Xenopus tropicalis: one gene and its partner. The protein of the gene in region 1 interacts with the protein of each later gene in a biochemical or structural test. Links are inferred from orthologs where the notes say so. Each region holds a gene or a part of one and is shown in the gene's direction. Other genes may lie near its edges.

The links.
Region 2: the proteins of sh3gl2 (region 1) and synj1 form a complex in vitro, tested with the Homo sapiens proteins (2 studies listed by BioGRID and IntAct, with this or other methods). The link is inferred for Xenopus tropicalis from reciprocal best matches to the Homo sapiens genes SH3GL2 and SYNJ1.

Annotation. Positions count from the first base shown.
Region 1 is NC_030677.2:118,224,910-118,229,838, forward strand, and holds the start of sh3gl2 (endophilin-A1), read left to right. Parts: upstream 1-1,834; 5' UTR 1,835-1,867; coding exon 1,868-1,912; intron 1,913-4,929. UniProt on the Homo sapiens protein: Implicated in synaptic vesicle endocytosis. May recruit other proteins to membranes with high curvature. Required for BDNF-dependent dendrite outgrowth.
Region 2 is NC_030678.2:15,168,268-15,172,669, forward strand, and holds part of synj1 (synaptojanin-1), read left to right. Parts: intron 1-128; coding exon 129-237; intron 238-1,103; coding exon 1,104-1,333; intron 1,334-1,942; coding exon of another isoform or gene 1,943-1,963; exon of another isoform or gene 1,964-1,966; intron 1,967-4,402. UniProt on the Homo sapiens protein: Phosphatase that acts on various phosphoinositides, including phosphatidylinositol 4-phosphate, phosphatidylinositol (4,5)-bisphosphate and phosphatidylinositol (3,4,5)-trisphosphate. Has a role in clathrin-mediated endocytosis.

The DNA of each region.
Region 1 (4,929 bases):
ACCCCAGTGCACCTGAATGTGTTCCATTACTGGCAGTTCTATCTACATACGGAGCTGCCTACAGTATGGCAACATACCGTATACTGTATTGGGATGGGGGGACACTTTAGCGCAGGCTGCAGATAAAGGCGAAGAAAGATTCTTTGCACATGCACTAGGGGTATATTTACCATTCTGTGTAAAAAGTGGAGTGAAACATTACCGGTGATGTTGCCCAGGGCAACCAATCAGCAATTAGATTTCAACTGCTATGGCTGCTATGAGCAACATCACCGGTAATGGTTTACTCCACTTTTTACACAGCATGATAAATATACCTCTAAGGAAGGGATGTATAGTAGAAACCAGTATTTATTAGCAATCACAGGGGTGGCCACTGATCAGCTAGGGATTTCATCTGTGGGTACTATACAGGTGACAACGAAGAACCCCTATTTTTCAAATCTAATTTTCCCCACCCTTTTTAACACCCAGTAGATAAGCGTTCTAAATGTACAGTATTGATATGAACTATAATTCCTGGAAATGTAAGTCCAGCATTATGCATGTTACAAGCAATGTGTGACAATTATTTAACAAATATTGAACCACTACAAAGTAATGTTTTATCACACAGTCACCTTTCAGCATAGTTCAAGCACCAGTAATGTAGTACACACGTAGCACAGGGTGTTTCAGGTTACCCTACACTGTTATGGGATGCCTGTGCAGTGAAATTGTCACATCTCTCTGGGGACCTCATCCTACTATTTCCAGTACACTAGCTCTCTACTGTATCTTGTGGTTAAACATGTGCACCTTGCAATAGCATTTTTTCCCTTTTTTACATTAAGTTTATTGAATTATTTAACAACCAGAAACAGTGAAATGACAAAGATGCTATGCTTATGATTATGCTGTGAGGTTTTGCCCCCTAGAAGAGCCCAAAGCATAGTAAAGTGCCCAAGGCTAATGGTCAGTTAGTTTGAGATTTGGGGAGTGCTAACTTGCTTTCCTAGATATCCCCTAAAGCCTAGACTGATAGCCAATGAAGGTACCTAATGTAATTGATTTACTGAATATTGTTGTAAATATAGTAGAATGAGTGATATGGTTCAACAAATGTATAAGCTAAGTATTAGCTAAGCAGGGCTTGAACCCAAATAATTTGAACATTGAACAGCAGCATCAAATTTGGGAGTGGGGGACAGACTAGAAAGACATTTAATTTAAAGAGAATGTAAGTTTTAGTAGACTTAAGATAGGAGATCCAAATTACGGAAAGACCCCTTATAAGGGATACCCCAGGTCCAGTGCTTTGTGCTTGGCAGTGATGTATGCATTGGGGACAGACAGCTAAAAAAAAAAAACTGTGTCACAGCCGGGCCCCCTTTAAAGCGAGGATATCGTCCGGGCCGGCACAACAGTACCCCCTGTGCCCCACTGATGGCGGCCCTGCACTCACATACATAAACTATATATACAACCACTAATACTAACTGTAGATATTAGTATCACAATAGCCTTGGATATTCTGATTGTTAAAGAACTCATCCAGGCCCCTCTTAAAGGCATTAACAGAATATGTTTCCTATCTGGTTTTATAGCGAGAAATATTTGCACCCAGAAGGTGATAGAATCCCCTGATGCGCCGCCACTTGGGGGAGGCCCCACACAGGGGAGGGCAGGTGGGAGGAGCCAGGCGGGCTGCCTGCTGACGTCACGGTGTCCCTGCATTAAGGCGGCAGCAGCATCACAGGATTACTGCCATCCGAGCAGGAGAGGAGAAATTCCCTTGCAGTCCCGAGCGAGGCCGGCCATCTGCACCTCTCACCCGGACACCAGGCAGCAACAACAGCAGCAGGAGGGGACCCGGCCATATTGCAGCATGTCGGTAGCAGGGCTCAAGAAGCAGTTCCACAAAGCCACTCAGGTAAATCAAGCGATTTCATGGCTGCAGCCCCCTGTCATTCTGCAGAGGGGTCCTTCCCTTTTCCCTGTCGCCCTGGCTCTTGCCTACATTATTTTGGGAACAACGACTATGACACGGATTCATCTGTTCAGCAGGTTTCGGGGCATTTGTGCAAGGCGAGCAGCGCTCTGGCTGTGTAAGGGTTAACCCCCAGGGGCATCTCCAGGCTATTTTTATCGCTGCAATTGTGATTTGTTGCTATATGGAGTGTGTGCATCAATACATCTGATTATATGGGTGTAATTGCTAGAAATCCCCCCCTCCCCCCCATAATAGATGTAAATACTAGCGCAGGATCCGGGGGTAGGCTGGAATTGATACTCTGCTTTCCCATAATATATATCCCATGGGAACCCCCACATGACTGTAGTAAGGATGGGGCTTGGTACCCCACTGGCTGACTGATAACCATGATACACACAATAAAACTTCAGCATGCCATGGGTTAAACAAAAGACAATGCCAGCTGTCATGGAAATCCAGGTCAAAATGAAATGTATTGAGGTAACTCAGTAATCTGCCTCATCTTTGTGGTTTTATTTCTATGGTGATGCACAGGCAGTAAATGCAGGGGAAAGCTGTGATCCTAGCAATGGTGATAAAATGCAGCAGGGTTATCTCTCTGTCTCTGTGTTGGAGGCGTGCAGCAGCTCTCCTGTGTATCACAGCACACTTGGATAAAATGGAGATTAGGAGATAGGCACAGCATAGAGGGATTACTAACTGCTGAAGCCAAATCATGATCTTAGATTTAGGATTTACATCAGTTTGTCTGCAGTCAGTGTTCACACAGAAATTCTCCCATAGAGGTCACCTCCTCATCCCTACTGCTGCCTGCAGCCAAAAGCTCCATGCAGAGCTATCTGATATCAGCTGCATTATTAAACAGGTTGGGGAGGTCTCCTCTCTCTCTCGGCTCTTCTGCAGGAAGGATGTGATATTGCAGTTCTGTTTTTTTAATCCCCTCTCATAGGGACACTAGGACATGATTTCAAAGTTACCTTTAATTAGGGAGTTTAAAGCCTCTATTATTGCTATTGTTTGCCTCAAGCCTTTCACTGTATATGCCGTAATTTTCAGCATCACGTATAATGACTAAAGCAATATGCTTTATACCTGCTGTGTAATAGCATTTCTCATTAGTTTTTGCACATTACCTGGTTAAGGTTGCTACCGGCTGCTATTACACATACCTAGTTGGTAAAATACTGACTCTGCCAGTAAACCTGCAATACCGGTTCTGACCTTTGTCATTTCTAGTAAATGTAGACTCTCCTGTAGGTACACCACCAGCCTGCCCAGTTATGCCCCAATCAGGCCTATTTATTTGCCCTCTTACAACCAGCTTCCCCTGATTCAGGAAAAGTTATTGCTATATTTTATGCTTGCTTAATGGAATCAGTTTCTTGGATTCTTGGTGACCTAATTTACTTGCTCTTTGGCAAACAACAAAATCTCACACTTGCTTTTTTGGAAGGAATTCTAAATATACTTTCAGGATCAGAGTTGCAGGGCTCCAACAAAAAGCCCATTTTGTATTATAATAAAAGGAGTAATGTGATGACATAACCCTGTTAAATGCACCCTGAATTAATCATCCAGGGAGCAATAGAAAACTTATCTTTGCACTCAGTGGAATAAATACCATGAGAGAAAGGAATACAATCTGCACCAGGATCTGCCCCCCAGCCTCCCAATGGCCCAGAGCCCTGCACATCCAACAGTGGCATATATAGTATCTGTTCTTAGAAAAGGAATGCAGGGGCCCTTCCCATGTTATTTTCCTTAAGTAGACCAAAATATTTATAGGGCAACTAGCATAAGGCAAGATATGACCAATATTATGTACAAGGCTGCTGTACATGCCTGTAGGTACAGATGACCTCTAAGGATTTAGTCCCCTATTTTCATTGCTGGTGGCATCACTGGGCATGCATGATCTGCTCTAGTCACGAGTAATAACTCCAGCATGCAGGCCACACTGAATACATGCATTGCTTCTGTCACTAGGAAAAGAGCTGACACAAGATGAAGGAAAACTTTTCATTCATGGCTCTTCATTGTCATAGGGCCCATGTACCCCTAGGCTGGTACGACTCTTTTAAGACAAGTTGTGAAGCCCCCCTCGCCCATGTCTGAGTGCAGGAGTGGTGGCAGAGGGGGTTCTCAGTTCGAAGATAGGAAAAGAAGCTGCCTTGGGGCTGGTATGGTAAAACCTAGGCATCTAGTACATTATTTACCAAGTGTTGATTTCTGTCATCTGTCACTACATTTTATTTTATTAGAAAGCCTGCCCAAATGCAGGGGTCAAGTGTAGACACTGAAATTAAATAGTTAATAGCTGATCCATTATTGAAAAATATTTTAGAAAGCCCTTTAATTGTGACTACATTTGTATAACTGTACATCAACTTCAACCAAGTTGCATTGCACAGTCTGTTTTTATTTGGTGTGGGTTTTAATATAAAATATTCACTGGCTGAAATTCATATGAATCTTCGACTGTGTTGTGGAAGGTTTGTAAACTTGAACAAAATAAAGGAATAAAAGGTTTAGAGGAGTTTATCTGAAAGCTCCAAGGGTAAAATTCATCAATAAATTTTTTTTTGGTTCAGTTTTCTTGCTGAATCAGCAAAACAGCCGACATGCAGTTTACTTTTTCCTGATGGGAAGGTTAAATTAACAGCACATCAATATCTGAATGACTGAATTACTTTCCATCAAAACCCTACTGACCCATGAGTACATCTCTAAATGTATAGTAACATTCTTAAAGGAGCAGGCACCTTTACAAACATAATTTCATTTACTACACCATACATAATGTCTTCATTTTGTAATGTATTATAAAATGTAGGTTTTTAAAAACAAATTAGTTTTATTTTCCTCCCCCATTTTAATTTGTTAATTAGGTTAACTGCCTTTTAAACTGTTAATGTTAAAATTAGATACATTTCTCAGGAGCATTTGAAAAATGT
Region 2 (4,402 bases), on another chromosome or scaffold:
TTAAAGAGTCACGGCACCACCTTCTGTCATTTTGGCTGACTCGACAGTCGATAGAAAATTAGGTTTGTGAGAAAAAGAAAGCCTTGCTGCTCTTGTTGTTGTTGAAGCTTTATTTTGTATCCTACCAGACCATTCCTCCTCGTGCTGGAGTTATCAGTGCTCCACAAAGCCATGTTCGGCCTGTTCCTGCTCGAACAACCCCTGAGGTCCCAAACAAGCCCACCGAACCTGCAAGAGGTATAGTACAGTCTTAACTTCCTATATACATACATATTTTCTAGTTGGGCACCAAACACAGGTATTGGTATGTTCCTGATGAGATGTGGTGTGCAAATGGCAGACCTATGGTTGCTGCTGGACGCAAATTCCTGCTCATCTAAAGAAAAATTGTGATGTCAGTTTATACGCTAGGCCTATGGCACATGGTGCATTTTCTCCACTGGAACTCTATTTTGAGGAAGGTGGAATAAAAATTGTTCCATTTGCTTTACCATCTTTTAACCAGATCCAAATGTAAATGGCAGAAGTAACACATAAAAGGGTTTGTTCACCTTTAAATAAACGTTTGGTGTCACGTAGATATTGATATTCAAATATAATTTTCAATCCATTTTCATTTTTTATTTTGAATGGTTCTTTGGTTATTTAGCTTTTTGTAGCTCTTCAGTTTGGTATTCAGCAGCTATCTGGTTGCTAGGGTAAGTAAGAACCCTAGCAACCAGACAGAGATGGGAATATGAATAGGAGAGAGCCTGAATAGAAAGACAAGTAATAAAAAGTAACAATAGCAATCAAATTTTATCTTTGACGAACATTCGTCTTTGACTGCTGGGGTCAGTGACCCCCATTTGAAAGCTGGAAAGGGGCAGAAGAGGAAGGCAAATCATTAAAAAACTATAAAAAAATAATTAATGATAACCAACTGCAAAGTTGCTAGGAATAGGCAATTCTTTAACTGTTCTAAAAGTTAATGTAAAGGTGAACCACCTCTTTAATTGGCTATAATAGCTCTATAGCATATTTAAACTAAATGATGTCCCATATTTTATGCATTAATGTGTTGGTTAATCAACTTAATTATATCTGGCTATGTGCCCTTTTAGGTGTTCCGTTACTTCCTGAGCCCTTGAAGCCTCAACCTGCGGCTCCTCTTCAAACCAGTCCAAATTCCCAACCACCCTGCCAAAAACTGCCTGAACCTATTCTACCTACAGCAGTACAGGCCGCATCCCAGACTCCACCCTTACAGCAAAATCTAGACCCTCCTCCACTCCCTCCTCCAAGAAGCCGCTCCTCCCAGAACCTGCCCACTGACCAAAATGCTTCTCAGCAGGTAAGTGTCTCTGCTTCATGGTACATTGTAAACCAAGAGAATTCGTACAGACTTCATACTATATCAGGCTGTCGTTCATCAGCAGGAAATTGCTATAGTACTGTAGTCGGGTATCCAAAGGAAGACACCAGGATGTTTAATTTGACATTAGTTCTTCAGATATTCTGCTTACTTTTTTAAATCTTTGTATGGGCAGTTAAGCAATTCTGTTGCCCACATATGTAATAAAAGGCACAAAGTATGAGTTTGAAACAAATGCATCTCTATGTAGGAAAAAAAGAGCAGTTCCAAAAGTACAGGATATTGTATGGTTATTTGACATTTTTCTAACTGACTTGTTTACTAACTGCACCAGAAACAATAAGCAGTTCCAAAAGTACAGGATATTGTATGGTTATTTGCCATTTTTCTAACTGACTTACTAACTGCACCAGAAACACTGCATCACATATAGAGCATGGGAGGGGGGGGGAGGGATAGGCTCCCTTTGTTTTTGTTTTTTTTCTTCTTTCAAACAATTTAGTAGACAAAGTATTCTGCATGTTAAGTCTGGATCCTGTTCACCTAATTTTATTCTTTTAATATCTTTTAATGTCTTTTTATCACAAGCAGGAGCAACCATCAGGGTAACAGGTACCTGACTAATTTACCCATAATGTTGTGCAATTCACCCTAGTTAGTTCCATTACTGATCGACTCATATCGGCTTTCAGCGTTTGTCATGCCTCGGAAAATGACCATGTATCTTATGTTGGCTAGTACCCATTTCTTCCTTGCATCTGCAAATGATTTTTTAATAAAAATGAAATGAATAAAAGTGGCCAGTCACTGAGTTTCACCTGAAAGGGGAAATAAAAATATCCTCTCAAAAAAAAAACTTCTACCAATTCAGTTTCTTTATTTACTGGCCCCATATAAAAGTTTTGGAATACATTATCTGGAAAGCAGACTTATAGGATGTTCTGGAAATCTGTTATTTTACCAATTCATACTAAATTTAGGTTGGGATGCACCAAATCCAGGATTGGGCCAAGAATCTGCCTTTTTCAGCAGGATTCGGTTTGGTATTTGGAATCTTTTACAAAAGATTTGGGGTTTGGCCGGATCCTAAAATTGTGGATTAGGTGCATCCCTACGTTTAGGTAACATTTACTGCTGTAAATAGCATGTGCAGCCGCTCGAAGACCATAAGCAATGTGTATATAATGCTTCAGCTAAAAGCACCCTAGGGAGAGCTCTGCACCCTCACAATGGCAGCTCCATAAGCAGGAACCCATATTGGGCCACACGCATGTACAATAGGAGCTAGTGCTCCTGGCCGCTTATTGTACAATGTATGAACAGTCAATATGCTCCCTGATTCCACATCATGAACTGAGGCTTTTGTGTACCCTCCCACCCATAATAGGATGCAGAGCACTGGCTAGAGTGTTTCTGTTAACCTTCTCCTCTAGTTGCAAAAAAACTTCTTTTTTGTGCTAGGTGCCCTTTGAAATAAAATTAATGTGTTTTAATATATATGCCTGTGGGTTGGTTTTTTTTTAATTTCTAAATTAGCTTTTAAAAATTCCCTACTCCTCTCCTTATCAGCCCCATGCCTCTAAGGGCAGTGACACACGGAGAGATTAGTCGCACAGTGACAAATCTCCATTGTTGCGGGCGACTAATCTCCCTCAATGCCATCCCACCAGCTAGAATATAAATCGCCGGTGGGATGGCACTGCGATGTCCCACAGTTGCCGAAGTTGTCTTCAGAGGAAACTTGACGCATATGCCATACCACAGGCGACTAATCTTCCCGTGTGTCGCTGCCCTAAGTAATTTAATGTAAACCTATTGTGAGAGGGTACACATCTGGCCTAATGTCTTTATAGAAAGATACAAATCATTATGTGCAAACAGCATCAATACAACAAACAGCTTGCTTTTTGCAAAGGCAGCTATAGTCTTAAAGTGGAGTAATCTACTGAGGCCAGTTAGATGGTCAATTCAGTTATTACCACTGCTTTAGGGCAATAAAAGCTAGCTAATGATTGGCTCCCAGGGGCACACTTTGCCATATTACACCATGGTGTTTAATTGGATATTAGATGTGACAATCACAGGCTACTGACAGTCACTCTGGATAACCCATGGTTGGGACCAAACAATGGGCTTCTCAATTAATATTTGATAAATCAATGGGAAAGACTGAAATAAAATAAGGCATCAGGCAGTAAATGTGGTTCTTTTGTTAAAGGTTTAGCTGTGCCCTACTCAGTAGAGTTGCTTAATGATAGTTTTTTTTTTTTTCTGGGTTTGTCTCTAAACTGCAACTGGTAAGTTTGGTACTTACCGCACTAATATAATGTACTAGTGTAACAGAAACATTGAGATTTTGCACTAATCAGGTTTTTTATTTAAAAAAGGACTGGCCATAAGTTACTAACTGCATATTTCATTACGCTACTTGCATGATATTGCATGATATATTGGTACAATGATCTAGAAGCATTCAATTAATCACTAATTTGTCACCATATAACCTGCTGTAGGAACACTAAAGCTAAAATACAAACTGCTCCTATGTACCGTCCATGCTACAAATCATACGCAATATATATATATTCATTGTGTTTTGTGTTAGCAGTTCCTTTTGCCACAATTCCCCGTAGGTTTTTCCTAGTCCATTTAAAACACACAGACAGTATCATGTATCAGATGGCAGAGGAAGACTTTTGCCTGCAGCTTATTAATTGGACTACAACAAAGGAGATTCTAGGTTTGGATATTGTCTGTGTGGTTTATCAGCTTCATTTACCTTAGAGCTATGTTTTGTAGCACTGGCCTTTAAACTGATAGTACAATTGGATGTTTTTTACTTCAGCCAAAGGAGCTGATCTGCAGAACAGGAAGGCAAAAATGTGCCTCTATATAAAAAACTTCCTTCCGAATGTAATTTCTGTGTAGTACTGTGAAATCAGAAAATACTGTAAATGAAGGAGCAACTTCTGTTTTAGCTCTAGTTCCCCTTGAAAGCCGCAGCTTTAAAGGAACACAAATTGGATTTTCATGGGAAACTTCATCATG